3 linked regions of the Neurospora crassa OR74A genome follow. The protein of the gene in region 2 interacts with the protein of the main gene of each other region in a pairwise test. Links are inferred from orthologs where the notes say so. Each region holds a gene or a part of one and is shown on either strand. Other genes may lie near its edges.

The links. The genes of interacting proteins can lie anywhere in the genome.
Region 1: the proteins of NCU02371 (region 2) and tcu-2 interact in a protein complementation assay, tested with the Saccharomyces cerevisiae proteins (2 studies listed by BioGRID). The link is inferred for Neurospora crassa OR74A from reciprocal best matches to the Saccharomyces cerevisiae genes RBD2 and CTR2.
Region 3: the proteins of NCU02371 (region 2) and NCU05706 interact in a protein complementation assay, tested with the Saccharomyces cerevisiae proteins (2 studies listed by BioGRID). The link is inferred for Neurospora crassa OR74A from reciprocal best matches to the Saccharomyces cerevisiae genes RBD2 and GTT1.

What each region holds. Positions count from the first base shown.
Region 1 is NC_026501.1:5,167,528-5,172,106, forward strand, and holds tcu-2 (TCU-2), read right to left. Parts: upstream 3,425-4,579; 5' UTR 3,063-3,424; coding exon 2,768-3,062; intron 2,533-2,767; coding exon 2,343-2,532; intron 2,245-2,342; coding exon 2,127-2,244; 3' UTR 1,656-2,126; downstream 1-1,655. Other genes in the region: NCU03280 (NUDIX domain-containing protein), read left to right, coding at 9-290, 520-736, 821-1,605; NCU03282 (3-hydroxyanthranilate 3,4-dioxygenase), read left to right, coding at 3,916-3,947, 4,013-4,088, 4,150-4,579. UniProt on the Saccharomyces cerevisiae protein: Provides bioavailable copper via mobilization of vacuolar copper stores and export to the cytoplasm.
Region 2 is NC_026507.1:2,720,192-2,726,490, forward strand, and holds NCU02371 (rhomboid protein 2), read right to left. Parts: upstream 3,894-6,299; 5' UTR 3,351-3,893; coding exon 3,140-3,350; intron 2,882-3,139; coding exon 2,744-2,881; intron 2,675-2,743; coding exon 2,405-2,674; intron 2,318-2,404; coding exon 2,106-2,317; 3' UTR 1,695-2,105; downstream 1-1,694. Other genes in the region: nuo40 (NADH-ubiquinone oxidoreductase 40 kDa subunit), read left to right, coding at 1-75; NCU02372 (N(6)-adenine-specific DNA methyltransferase 2), read left to right, coding at 518-561, 631-799, 901-1,521; NCU02370 (hypothetical protein), read right to left, coding at 5,212-5,442; gh28-1 (polygalacturonase), read left to right, coding at 6,291-6,299. UniProt on the Saccharomyces cerevisiae protein: Probable rhomboid-type serine protease that catalyzes intramembrane proteolysis.
Region 3 is NC_026503.1:579,816-584,151, forward strand, and holds NCU05706 (glutathione S-transferase), read right to left. Parts: upstream 3,100-4,336; 5' UTR 2,956-3,099; coding exon 2,915-2,955; intron 2,840-2,914; coding exon 2,454-2,839; intron 2,374-2,453; coding exon 2,006-2,373; 3' UTR 1,656-2,005; downstream 1-1,655.

The DNA.
Region 1 (4,579 bases), on a different chromosome or scaffold from region 2:
TTGATACCATGAGCGCTTCGAACGAAGTGGGCGCACACACCACCGGCGACTTCCCTCAAGACCGCGAAGAGTTCCAGACCATTGCTCAGAGTATTCAGGGTGTACAGGATCCCGAGATCGTATTTCCGACGTCAACAAGAACGGGTGAACTGCCAACGGAGGGACGGGAGGAGAGTAATAAAGAAGACGGGGAAAGCGCAAAGGATCAGGAGGAAGAGAAGGCTATCGACAGCGAGGCGTCCCATTATTGGGATGCTTCGACCATGAAACCGCTTAGTCCAGCCTCGGCGGTTAGTACTTATACCTCACTTTTCTTGACTCCGTGCCGGTTGCTTGCTCCCGTGGAAGACCGCTTGGCTCCGGCGCCGTGTGTCCGGTTTCGCACTCCGGCTCCGGCCCGGGCTTGCGTGGTGCCCTGATGTCGAAATTGGGTTAGCCCTTTGCATGACTTCCGAGTTTAAATAGATCATCATTTTCTATGAAAACGTTCAAGTCACTTATCACAATTCTACCTTGCAGGCTGCCATTGCCCGATTAAGAGCCTTCAAGCCCCCTCCCTTTCCGCTATGGGACCGCCTACCAATCAGTCGCCGCGCCGCGGTGTTGTTGCTCCTTTTCGCAGACAAGCGCGGTGATCTCCGTGTCGTCATCACCATGCGCGCCGCGAGCATGCGCAGCTTCTCTGGGCATGCCGCGCTACCCGGCGGGAAGGCAGATAGTGTAGAGGAAACACCATGTATGAAGTCCCGCTATCACGTTCACATAAACTACCAGTAACGAGACCACGGAAAGACCACTAATTTTGGACTGTTTCATACAGATCAAATCGCCCGCCGCGAAGCCTGGGAAGAAATCGGTCTTCCCATGGACGACAGCAAGCTCCCCTCGCCCTTCCGCATCGAACACCTCTGCTATCTGCCCATGAACCTCGCGCGCACCGAGCTAGTCGTCCGTCCCTGTGTTGCCTTTTTGCACGCCGATGACAAGGTCGCGCCAGCGGCAGACGAATCCCTGATTCCGCGCCTCAATGCCAAGGAAGTCGCCGCCGTCTTCTCCGCGCCCTTCCACAACTTTTTGCGAGCCCATGATGAAGTTCCGAAAAGCGACGAGGACGGCTCGCAAGAAAAGCCGCCGCCAGGCAAGTGGTACGAGGGCAGCTGGACGAACTGGCACGAGGAGCGGTGGCGGTTGCACTTCTTCTACGTGCCCGTCAACAACCAGCAGGTAGCCAAGCCGGGGTCACGGAAGCAGCTAAAGGCCGCCGAAGAAAAGTCGTCAAACCAAAGCGCAATCATCAACCCGGAAGACGACGAGGACTTGCCGCCACCGACAGCAGCGCTCGCCCGTGGGGACGAGGAGGAAAGCGAGCGATACAAGGTTTGGGGGATGACGGCAAGGATATTGGTGGACGCGGCGACGGTGGCATATGGGGAGGAGCCCGAGTTCGAGCATAACAGCCATTTTGGAGACGAGAGGATGATCATGGGGTTGGATAAGTTGGGCATGTTGGGGGAGAAGACGAAGAAGGAGAGTGTGTTTACGCAGGAGGATCTAAAGAAGGCGAGTGAGGCGGCGAAGAAGGCTAGCGAGGCGTCAAAGATGTAGATAGAGGAGGACCTGGAGGTAATGTAGTTCAATGTGGGTGAACAGGGTGTTGGAGGTCTTGTTGTTGATCTATAGGCACAAGTTATGCATAAAATTTAATATCAACACCACAAAGCGCCAGTGGTTTAGTGGTAAAATCCATCGTTGCCATCGATGGGCCCCGCGTTCGATTCGCGGCTGGCGCAACCCTTATTTTTTTGGTTTTTTTTTTCTTCTCCTTTTTTTCCCCCTTCATCGGTGTAAAGCCATGCACATCCATTCGTCAGTTATTATAATATATAATACGGTAAAGAAAACTGTCAACTAGACCCTATTTTATGGGGATATACATACATACCCCATACGTCCCATCGTATCAACCGCCGATTACATGTCGAAACACTCTGATGGCACTTTTCGGACCCTTCTGGCCGCTCTTCTCACCAGCCGTTATGCAAAGTGGCCATAACACCTCGCCCTCAAGCTATATGCTTTCCTCCTGACGTTTGAGAATTGCGCACTCATGAGCACGTCAATGACACCTAATGGCAAGCAGTTTCCTTGGTAGCAGTAGTACGGGACCCAAAAACGAAGTATCCCAACGCAGCTCCCAAAGAGCAAGCCAGCATGACCCAGCCATTGTACGTCATGAAGATGAGCCTTTTGTGTGTGTGTGTGTGTATGGTCAGAAATAGAAAACATTCAAGCTTGGAAACAGAATTGGAAAGCAAACGGTGGAAGGGGGGGAAATCTCTTACATGATCATGAACGCATAAAAGTTCTGGATCCCATACAAGACCGACTTGATGGCGTGGGCCCGCTTGGTGACTGCAGCCACATTTTGCCCTAGTAACCACGGCATGGTAGTCTCAGCAAGACGTTCTTCATCTTCAAGTTGTTGTTCAACGTCATCATCATCATCATCATCGCGATACTGTTCTCGAGGGTCTCCAAGACAGATAAGTGGTCATCTTAGCAAAACGATACGACACCAAACGCATGGTAGATGTAGTAGGCATTCGGTGTTTGTGTGTCTAATGCCACGTAACGTTGTGACATTTTGAGATGCAATGAGATGATATGGCAAGCCAAGGCAAAAATAGCAATATCGGATTAAAGAGAAGCAAAATGGTTTTCAAAGGGCCCGAGACACAAAAAGGGGAAGTGAGGATGAACAACTTACGAGGCGTAGTCTCCACCCTCTTATTAGTCCATGCCTCATACTGTCTAATGCCCTCGCGAAGTGCCTCGTATCCGGCCGCCAACGCGACGATGGCGAGAAGGGAGACTACGAGACTGAAGGTCGAGTGGATGTGCCATTGGCGGAAGACGATGCAGAGGTTCTCCGTATTCCAGGTGAAGAGCATGTTCATGCTACACCTCGGCGCTCCTTCGCCCATCCCAGGATGACCCGAGTGCATGTCGCCGTGGCCGGAGTGGTCCATGTGGGTGCTGTGGTCGTGGCCGGAGTGATCCATGGTTCGTTTTGCTGCTCCTTAAGGATGTTTGTTGCTTCGACTATAGGAGAGAAAAGAAGGGAGTTGAGTGAGATGGCGGAGTTGTTGATCGGGGATCTCGACTTATAAGGTAGAGGTGGCTGTGAGTGAGCGCCTCGTGTCCCATCAGATGAAAGAGGAACTGAAGTGTCCCGTTGGTGGAACCTCGAGGTCGGAGCTGGAGTTTCGCACGTTGTGTTCAATTCACGGCCAGAGAAGACATGAAGCACCTGAGAATACGCCTACAACGCCCTGCAGCTGGTACGAATCTCGCGAGATCGCTATCAAGCTAGTTTGAGCAAGATAAACAGGGGTCTGGCATCCGAACAACAACACTCCCTGAGGGGGAAACAGACTTGTCTAGGGTTCGTTTGGCAGGCCGTGGTATCCCCTCCGTCTGACAGCAGGCATCATCTGGCGGGGCATCAAACAGACAAGTGGGGTAGTACTACTACTGTTGGGATACTGTACCTGCCGGAATTTAGTTCGTGGTTTCCAGCGCTCCATGTTGTTCGAAACTTCCATTACCTAGTGCGTAGTAGACATTTCTGGATTTGTACTTCTATGTATGGTCTTGTACAAGCCCATTTTACAGTCAACACTGAAAGTTCGAGTACAGTTAACTGCAGTGGGTATGCGTTTTTCCCGGCCCCTGCCTATATCGTTAGAGTGCCGGGATGAGCTGACAAAGCAATCAGCTGTTCGCAGTTTGAATCATCCCATCGTCAGCGTCATAACTTGAGGATCTTGGAGGTTGATTTTGGGAGCAAAGAACGGTAAAAGAAAGAAGAAGACCGAGTCATAGTTCCCACAAACACAAATCAGGTCTTAAACAATGCTTTCCTCACCAGTAAACCTGCCGAAATGGTATGCATCACCATCAGCCACATGTAACCCCTCAGCGTATCAGCTTGCGCTCACAGCTTACACAGGCTCGAAGAAAACTCTCACCTTCTGAAGCCGCCCATCAACAACTACTGCGTTTACAATGATGATTTCACCGTCATGGTAAGTAGCAACTCGACTGCAGGTAATGCGGATTCCAGTCGTGACTAAAACCCCCCCACAGATCGTTGGTGGCCCCAACGCCCGCACGGATTACCACATCAACCAAACCCCCGAGTGGTTCTACCAGTACAAGGGCGCCATGATGCTCAAGGTGGTCGACGACGGAAACTTCAGAGATATAATCATCCGCGAGGGCGAGATGTTCCTCCTGCCAGGCAACACCCCGCACAACCCGGTGCGGTTCGCCGACACGGTCGGTATCGTGCTGGAACAGAAGCGTCCCGCCGACACCATCGACCGCATGAGGTGGTACTGCCAGAACTGCAAGGAGATTGTGCACGAGGCGAGCTTCCACTGCACCGATTTGGGAACGCAGATCAAGGCGGCCGTGGAAGCCTTTAAGGGTAATGAGCAGCTGAGGACTTGTAAGAAGTGTGGTGTGCTGGCAGATTGGAGCCCCAAGCCTGGATCGATCCAGGATCCGAACGTGC
Region 2 (6,299 bases):
AATGCCTACTACGACCTTCCGCCAGCGACCGAAAAGGAGAGGAGGGAGGACAGGGAGTACATTCACATGCTGTGAGTATCTTTGGGGTTGCACAGGGATGCATGTAGATTGTAGAAATCCACCGTAGAGCATTTGGTGAGTCGACGGAACACAGAACGTCCAGACTGGATGCTGTGGTGAGAATTAGAGCAATCAAGAGATTTGCGCAAGCGTTTGAACGATCTGGGGTGAAATTGAAGCCTTCAACTCGACGGGGTTGTGTTTACTGGTATGATGCGACCAAAAAGGGGAACGGATAAGGGAAATGGCATCAATGCATCCACAAATTTTTTCCGAACGATGCTGCACACTCCCGTTAAACTTTGACTGTTAGTGCCAAGAGCACACCATTCCCCAACACTCACAACCTTACAGTCACTCGCTGCCCACTTAGACAACCGATTATAATCGATTCGCTCCTACTTGTACCCGAACCATATCGAATCGAGCCATACTGTGATTAGACTTGGGGTCCAAAATGGCGTGCATCATCGACAAATTCTCTGATGATGAGAGTGACCTGTGAGTAATGCCTCACTACCAGAAACTTATTTTAATAATCGTAATCCACAGTATACTGACTATCTGAAGCGAACTCTCTACCTCAACCCTCGATGCCCTCAAATCTTTCTACGCCGAGCGCGATGCCCGTGCTGAGCAGTTTGCTAAGCTCCAGGCCGAGGCTGAGGAGAGGCATGCTTTGAACGTCAAGCTGTCTATGGATGCTTTCACCGAGGATTGGAATGAAAGCCAGTTCTGGGTGAGTGATACCATTTTCATTTAATTTTTTTTCACACATGGCTTATAAAGAGACGTTCAACCGACGAAGACGAACCAACTGACATGAGAATCACTCAACAGTACTCCGATGAAACAGCTACCTTTCTCGCCAAACAACTCCTCGCCGGCGCCACTCCAACCACCTCCATCGCCGTCGTCTCCGCCCCCTCCGTCTTCGTTCAGCTCAAGAACCTTTTGAACAGCGACGCCTACAAAGACAAGCCCAAGCCCAAACTCACCTTACTCGAGCACGACAACCGCTTCGCCGTCTTTGCTGACGAATTCGTCTTTTACGATTTCGCCCAGCCGCTCAAGCTTCCAAGCCACCTCAAGGGCGCCTTTGACCGCGTCATTGTGGATCCTCCCTTTTTGAGCGAGGATTGCCAGACCAAGGCTGCGTTGACGGTAAGGTGGATGCTCAAATCGGAGGAGAAGGGCGAAAAGCCCAGAATCATTGCTTGCACGGGCGAGCGCATGGAGACGCTGGTCACGGAGAAGCTGTATAAGAGCTACGGCCTGAGGACTACTACGTTTGAGCCTAAGCACGCGAGGGGGTTGAGCAATGAGTTTTATTGCTATGCTAATTTTGAGGTGAAGCCGGAGGAGGGGGCGGGGGCTGAGACGCCAGAGGGGAAGGGTTGGACGTTGAGGGAGTTGGGGTGGAAGGAAAAGGAGGGTGCTGCTACTGCTGCTGCTGCTTGATTGAGGCTGTGGGCTAGGCTAGGCTGATCATTGGGGGGGGAAGGAGGTTGAAATTGGGGATAGGAAGGGAATTTTTGGGCCATTATTTGGGACGGCGCTACTACCGTACAGGGGAATAAGTATACTGATGAATAGAAATTTCTTTGTTGTAAGCGTGAAAAGGGTTGGAAAAGCAAAGTGATAACATATTATTTCTTACATCTGGATAACTCGCGACCTTTGCCATAATGACTCGAGCTTCTTTATGACGCTACGAAACTTTGAAGACCATTGAGACCCCGTACTCATCATCCATGGACGTGTTCAAGCTGAATGATTGGCACTCATCAAATCTAATAAGACTCGACTTGCAGGCTTCAAATCCCAAGAGGAAATTCGATTCATATCCAGAGAACGCCATGCAACTACCATCTCCATTTTCCCCCGGCCCTGTATTTAGTCGTACAGCATCATACATTAACAGTAAAATTCCTTTCTATATCCATTATTCATGACACGCATGCCTCGTATGCACCAATTCAAACTTCCATGCTCTTCTACTCATGCACGTAATGTACGCCATATTTCGGGAACCCGTATTTCTTTCAAGGTCCCAATCGCTGGCCACCAGAGACCCCGGAAAACGGAATGCCAGCCTCGGCTGATGAGGCAGAGGAAGGGAGGACACCGAATCTGCCAAAAGTCTTTTGATCCACGCTGACGTAGTGAGGCAGTCTACCCAAGAGGTTGAGCTTTCCTTCGATGAACCGCAACGCCCACTCAGGAGGGGCGAGGAACTTGAGGTATCCTAGGCCGACTGTTTATCATCCATGTTAGCAAATATAGCTTTCCCCCCCCTCAACATGAACGTAGGTAGGGGAGCAGTTGGGATTGAAACACGTACACCCATAACCGACAAGCAGACCGGCCAAGTGCCCGAGGAAGCTCGAACTCGGCAGCAACGCAGCAGTAACCACCACCAACAACAAAGGAGTGATCCACGTAGGAATGTTGTAGGTGCTGATGGTGAAGTAGGGGTTGGTCTTGTAGGTGCGAATAGCTTCCATGCCCAGCAGCAGGAACACCCACATGCTGGCTCCCATGACTGGCGTGTTGGCGTGAAGGATGAACCTTTCAACGAAGACGTAGATGAGGCCCGGTATCGTTGCGAATGCTAGAGGAGAACAAACGTGTGAGTTGTGGCCCCGGGTAATATCAAGGAGATGAGAGGGGGGTGTCTTACGGCCAAAGAAGAGCGCCACAGAGGTTAAAGTACCATGTTCATGCTCGAACCGCTCGAGAAGAGGTGTAAAGGCGACAATGTTGAGTATTGTGTGGAAGATGTTTAGGTGGATGAAGGGGAATGTGTTGATGCGATATACTGTTGCCAAGAGTGTTAGCAGGTGTGCTCGGGCAGGTCTCATGTCACAGGCCAGCGTTGAGGCATGACCCATTTCAGAATGTGAAGCCTCCTGCCATCCCGCAGGACTGCTGTCTGGTATCTGCGGTGTCCGCTACCAGCGCGTGCTCTGCGTCCAATTGAGGATTCCCTCCCATCCCATTCCCTTCAGCGAGGTCCTCCACTTTGGCCACTCCCTGGCATGACCATACCGAAGAACAAAAACCGAATAGAACCTACATGTCGCAATACCAATCTCGTCCGGTATCAACGCGCCCCACGTCTTGACGTCCCAGTTCCATGACTTGCCGACCAACGTCAGAACCCATGTCAGGACAATGATTAGCACCGTGGCTCTTGTGAAAAGTGGCAGCTTAAGGAGATATGCACGCGTGCGCTGGGTATTGAACGTCACGGCAGCCCCGGAGGCGGGCAGTGTCTGGGCTGCCATTATGCGAATTCGTGTGTGTGTGTGAGGTCGTGATCCGGGTGGTAGATTGGTCCGCGGTCGGTCTGCGTTCAGGAAGAACCCAGATAAGATGCGCCGTCGATGGAGGAGAGGGTGTCTCCACGTCCAATGTTAAACTTGCGAGCGCCCGTTGTATGCGAACCCGATCGTCTCTGAATGTCATACAGCGTCTCGAGGACTCGGGCCGTTGATGGATAATGGACAATTGGCGTTGTTGTCCTGTCGAACGAGGAAGGCGGAGGGGGGGTCGTGGGCGTAGCAGGTATGTATGACCGCCTTGTCGCAAGCACCGACGTTTAGTGCTTCCTGATCGGTCTTATGGCTGCAAGGTACGTAACCTGGGTAGATGATGATCCAACGTTTTCAGAGAAAAAAAAAAAAAATCAAAAAAAAAAATCGGCCCCTCGTCGAATGTCGGTCAGGAGTAAGGTCCGACCCCAAGCTTGTGTAGTCGCGTTGACTAAAGCTGACAGGCGGGCTCTCGGGGTTCCGTCGCGGCCGTGGGGAGCGTTGGTCAGCCCTGGCCCCGTCCGTGTTGGATAAGTCGCTGGTCGGAAGTGGAGTGGAGGGGTCTACCATAACCGGCAGTTCTTCACCGTCCATAATCTTATGCAGTGATCCAGTCCAAATTATTCTTCCTTTCAAAGGTATTGAACTTGAGACATCAAATGACCTGCCCAGCTAGCAGTGTTGATTTGTACACAGACTGGAAGTAATACTGGGTGTATCTGAAGCACCGTACTTCGGCAGAGCTTCAACCCGAACCACCCGTACGGGAGGGACATGGATAGGGTAAACATACTATTATAAAGTACATAGGTACATATCTATACATTGAGCAATGTAGAGAGTCGAGGCGGGAGTGTCAGTTACCATTCAGTATTCCACTCTCAGTTCCGCCGTGCCTTCTGGTTTTGAAGTACATTATCACCGCGTAAACTGCAGTGTCTCTTTTGGCAGGTTGGTGTCTACGTGTGGAAGGTGTTCCCATCGATAGACTTTTTGGGTCTTTATCTTTGGAAAACCAAGGGGCATTTTTTTGTATGTCCAGGGTCTAGCTAGCAATCAAAGCCCAAAAAATAAATTGAAAACGAGATCTATCTCACATACATCAGTGAAATTACATGTTGAAGCCAACAGAAGGAGGAAAAAAATGGTTCAAAAGGCGAAAAAATTCGACAACAGTAGGGTTCGAACCTACGCGGGCGAACCCAACAGATAGCTGAATAAAGGCGGTATTCAAGTCTGTCGCCTTAACCACTCGGCCATGTTGTCATGGTTATGATTACTTACAGTTACAATGATAACGCTAGAAACAGCCAGGCATCGGAATGCGCGTTTCAGTATGAACGGCCTCTGTTGGATAGAAATTGTACAACAGCCAGCCATATTTAAAACCGGTTGACTTCATTTATCAGGTTATCAATCTTGTGCAGCATATCATTCTTCTTTGGTCGCATGTTCTATGCTTTTACGGGTATTCCATGCCTATCTTCCGCGGCCTTGAGGTTTGCGCCTGACTCTACTCTCCAACTATGGTCGTAGAACCGACTGCGGGTGATCGTGTGGGTGAACAGCTCCTGCTTCAACCAATCAGTCTCTCCCCAGTCGTGTCATGTCGATAGACAGGTTGACGTGGAAAGGATTCGCGTGGCCTCTCAAAGATTACGTCCGTCGAAGCCTTCAGTTCTCGTCTTGAACCGATGGACTGCTCGGCTCGATGCCCGCTATCGAGAGACGACCTCCCATCTTCGGATCTTCCTGCAATCACGCAAGAAATAACCTCCAACTCCCCTGAACCTCCGTGATCCCTTCCCTTCAAAACTTGCGTCGCTCGTCCTCATCACTTCCTCTCCGCCCCAGACTCGACTATCCTCCTCTGCTCTTCGGGAGAGAAAAGCGCAGTACCCTGCTGTAGCGCGTTCACGAGCAGGTGGATCGCATCGTTTTTGAAGTCGTCAGCCGTGCGCACCTTGTCCAGGTCTTCGGCAAACTCCTTGGTTGCTCGCTGGAGGTAGTAGGAAGTGAACTCGGCAGAAACCTCTTGCTGGCTCATTTGCTTGCTGTCAGACATGTTGAAGGATCTCTTTGTAAGGATGATTGGTTGGTTGGTGGTTGTGGAAGTAGAAATGAGAGGACGAAAAGTCGGGACGTTTAAAATAGGCCAAGCTCAAGATGTTGTTTCAAAGCTCTGAAGTCTGTTGCGAAAGCGCTTGGTAATTCGTGCTGATGTTATTAAAGGAGAAAAATTCGGTGGGCACTGTCCGGTGAACCCAAGGTGAAGTTTCACCGTGCAACTGCCCCACTTTTGACTTCAAGCTGCTCGACGACAAGACGGGATTGACAACTCAACACCAGGACCAAACAAGATCACAGGGCAAAGATTTGGAGGAAGAACATTGCAGGAGGAGGGGAAAGAACACATCAGTCGATTTTCCGCAAGCACAACATGCGGGTTTTCCCTCAGGACAACCCCTTGTCTTCATTCTCCTCCTCCTTTACTCCCTCCCACCTCGGAGGCACCGCCCATGGATGACGACGACTTGAATCCATAACCAGTCCTCGAATTTGTCCGCTCGGTCAAATGTATGCCGAACGCAGGTAAATCCATAGTAAACAAAAGCGCCGTTTCTCCTGCAACTTACTAAGTGGGTGGCACTCGTCTGTTTACCTTAATAATCGCCAGCGTAGTATTCTCGTGTTTTCATCCTCGCTACGAACACCGCTACGTTTCAAACCCCCGGTCTTGGAAATGAGATGATCTTGCAGCTTTTTCCACACAGCTGAGTAGAAGTATATATAAATCTGGTCTTGCCTAATGTTTGGTTTATTCATCTGCTGGGAGCATTCATCTCATTGTTTCTTGTTGTGCCTATACCGATAAAGGGGTACCATAGTCAAGTCTACCAGCTTCCAACAACCATGAAAATC
Region 3 (4,336 bases), on a different chromosome or scaffold from region 2:
GGTTACGAGTAACCGAAAGAACTGCCTTTTCTGCAGCAAGGTCTTGTCAAACTTTTGTTGCATAATCTCCAGCACTTTTCCGTTAGTGCGCAGAAAGGACTCCCTGTATCACTTGATGAAGCCTCACATAAACAAGGTATGGGTAGTGACAGACGGGTGTTGGCACTTTTTGTGATACTAGCTCCATATTGTAGTCGCCTTGGGAGCCCATCACACACCTTCTCTCAATGAGTGACCTGCCCCCAATAGGACGCCCATATCATGATACATGCAAGCTCGTCCACCAAGGTGATACGTACCAGGCAACCCACCAAGAGTGTTTCAGATACACTTATCTGCCCTACCGGATGCCGTGAACCTTCCCCATCTCCCTCCAAAGTATCACGAAAAGCGGTGGCCAACGAGCGTTTGACCATTGTCTCGGGCGCTTGAGGCCGGTATCTGTGCCCATGTTTGGCATGCGGGTATCGCCTGATGACTGCGGCGTTGGACGGCTGCTGTGCCTCGAAGGACTTGTAACAGAGTAGCGATTCGGACCGCTGAGCCGTGGACATGTAAACACTAACTGCAGGTCGGCATCGTAAAACCTCAAGACTATTTCGTAAGGTGTTTTGGTATCAGTAGGTATTTAGTGCTGTTTGACGATAGGTCGTTGTACGGTGGTCGGAGGCCGAAGGTCGGAGCCCTAGAGCGAGGCACCTCAGGCTAACAGTAACACCGAGGACCGGGGGGTCGGTGAGGGACACGGGACGCGACGATCATTCGGGCCTGAAGCACAATTAGTGAAATGAATGAGGCAAACTAGGAGAAGCTTCTCTTGATTATCCGTCGAGTTGGGAAGGCAGCCTTGCGAATCATGGACGTTGATTAGTGGAGGAAATTGGTAGCATGCTGCGCTGCGCCGCAGGCCCGTTATGGCGACCCGACCATTGCGTCGGGACTTGCACGCCGGCCGCCGGCCTCGAGAGGCCACTCTGGACGGCCTTATTTAGAAGAAACAGACCATTGCCGTAATCGAGATGCAGGAGCATCACGACAAATGCGGTTGGCGGCTGTGATTTGGTGACTGTTGGACGGCTCTTGGTGGTCAATATTGTTACCGTGGGATGCTGGAAGTATTCCGCGGGAGGGTTTCGTACCATGTCGGACAGTCATTCGTCCCTTGACGAGTCTGGCTGTGGAATTGATAGCCTCGTAAAATGATTGTCAAAAAGCAAATTTCCCAGGCATCTTAGATCAAAGTGAAAAAAAAAGGCCGGCTGTGCATCGTAAAGCCAAAGAGTGAAGTGTGGTGAGCTTTGCGAGGGCGCAGTTCGTTGGGTCGCAGAATTGGCAAGGAACTGAACTTTGCACAAATAAAAGAATGGTCAGGGCATCGAAAATTCGACACTGGGAAATGGGCTTTCTCAGGGAGAATTCACGCCCTCTCGATTCTGTCTTTTGTTCGTGGAAAGGAAAGAGCGATTCCGTTGTCGTCGTGAGCTGATTATTACCGCTGCATTCATTGATGTTGTTTGGGAGAAGGAACGACCCTCGTCAAGAGCGCGAGATCGGCAAATCGTATGGTAGGGTTTGCACAGCGGGTTAGGGTTCAACACAGCGCAACCACTCATCATTCTTTTTGCCATTCACAACATTGAGCCAAGCATATAGAGTTAGGAGTAACATTGGGCGAGGCTGCTTCACAACTGAGGAAAGAAAAGAATATTCGATAAACCTTGAATGCTGTGCGAAAAGGTCACAGAAAGGCCGCATGCTGCGCATTGCCCCGGACCCGTTGCGGAGACCCGGCCACACACGCCAGAGCCACCACCGGTCGCATTGCTCGTGACCAGGATTAAATATAAACCGTCGAGAATATAATCAATGATCCTCATATGAGCGAGCGGTGCCGCGAACTCCACCTCCGATCGATGATCCGGACAAGCATCCGGAGCGGCCCCACATTGGATCAAATGCCCCCGAGATCCACTTATTACCGGCCATGCTCCGGAATCTGGTCCACTCACTGCTTCGCCTCGGCCTCCAAGTCCGCAATCTTCTTCTCCGCCCTCTTATACCCTTCCTCCTCCTTCAACCTTGCCACATAGTCAAACACCTTGGGAAACTTTTCCTTCAATTTCCCCTTTGCAGCCTCCCCTGCGAGAACCTCCGCCCTCGGCACCATCAACAGCGGAAAGCTAATCAGGATATCCGCCGCCGTCAACTTGTCGCCGCAGACGTACTTGCCGCCGTTGGGCGATGTCTCCAGTAGCTGCTGGATAAAGGCGCAGTGCTTCTCAATGTTGGGAACGACGAAGAAGTTGTTCACCCTGCCGGCGACGGTGGCGGTGATGGGGCGGATGAAGAAGGGGACTTTGGGGCCGGACATGACTGCAAGCAACCGATGTTTGTTAGAATCCCGGTGGTGTCCTGAAAGAGTACATACACAGAGACAAAGACGGAAAACTCACGGGAAAGAATCAGGGCCACAAGCAAAGGCGGCATCAAGCTGCCCTCGGAATAATACAGCAAATGCTGCCATCTCATCCACTCCTCCGTCTCGCCGCCCAGCTTTCCTTCTTGTCCATCCTTGTACTTGTTGGGAACCAGAGTGGTGTCCTTGCCAAAGTGTTCGCACAAGTACTGGGCAATGAAGGGACTCTCGGCCAGGACTATCTCCTTGGCGCCGGGCTCAGTAGGCTGGACCGTGACAACGGGCGATTTGCCTAGCGGATGGACCTTTTCCAGCTCGGCGGGCGCGAGCATGTCCTTGCCGCGATGGAAGATCTTGACGTCGTACGGGACGCCGAGCTCCTCGAGGAGCCAGACCATGCGCTGTGCGCGGGACTCATTGAGCCTGTGTAGTGAAAATTGTTAGTGATGTATTATCGCACACCTCGCTGCGGGAACCTAGTACTATAGGCATCCATACCAGTAGAGCGTTATCTTGGGGTGATCTGTGGTGGTCGCCATTTTGTCCGTCTTGTCCCGTCAGCAAACACACAAGTATGATCCTTGGAAGTGATTGAGGGAGGGATTGATGTTAAGTATCAACTGCCGGAGACTTTTGACTGTCCATCGCATCACATCGCACATCAGATGATTGGCATTACACCCGACCAGCATCGGAAAGAAGAAAAGAAAAAAAAAATGGTCCTGATGACGTTGTGCTGGGATACCTACACCATCACCAACCCGCTAGCACCCGCTAAAAGCGGAAGGCTGGGCAGACGGGCGTATTACCGGATCTGGTTCCAGCGACTGGGATTGCGATCCGATCGCCAGGAACCTCGGCTTCATCGCCGCCAATCAACACCACCACTGGAGAATGACATGTCCCAATTGAGCACTTCTGACTGCTTCCAAATGGTAGGCAGCTCGGTCTGACTCGCAGATGGAGTGAGCACTAATGAGTCGAAACTTGAGATTTTGGGGGCCGAGACTTAATGAGACTCAGATGCACATGTCGCAGCGAATCTGGGGGAATAAAATTGGTGGCGTGAAGGATGATGATTGATCAATGGATTGTCCAGAGACACTGGTCGGTGTTGCACCCATCGCAGCCAACACATGTTTGCGATGAAGGAAACAGAAGAGGTTGTCTTGGCGAGATGTGAGAGAAATGAGCAAAGTGTTAAAGCAACAGAGAGAAAAGGTTAGAAAAGGAAGAAGGAGAACAGAAGAAGAAAAAAGAGGAACAAGACACAAAATAGGTACAGATAAGCTGACAAGAACCCACAGTCATCGGCTCGGTAAACACTGCGCATCATGTTGCTTGACCAGTAGTTCAGGGTCCAGGTAAATAGTCGACCAAACTGCAAACATGAGCAAACCTCGGGATCTCGGTAGTTACCGGCTATTGACTAGGTATCCTAGTCATGATTCAAGGAGATATCAATGCTGGTCATACTCAGGGTGATTTTATCGCCAGCTGCTCGGAGTCTACATGAAGCTATCCAGTCTTCAAAGCCCGAGAACTCAGCATCACTAGACTCGACTGTATCCGATTGATATCCCCGGATCCTCGGCCCTCTCACTTTCTTCTCCCCGACCATCAACCGAAGCCAAAGCCCGTGCCGTCTCCCATTGGGCCCGAAGAGATCCCAACACAGTCCTGATACCATCTCACATTCCACCAGAAGCCCCACGGCCTGAATAACCGTCTATTTTGGTACCTTGTTTTCGCCAAGTCTACTTCAATAATGCTCTTAATCACTGAACACCTCCAAAGAAACACTGTTCACAAGTCTCGCCTCACAAGACCATCAAACCCTTCGCAAGAAATGTTGCTCAAATGAATTACCCATCTCAAGAGGCCAGATTCTCGCAAAGTAGAACAATACGCATTAAAGAG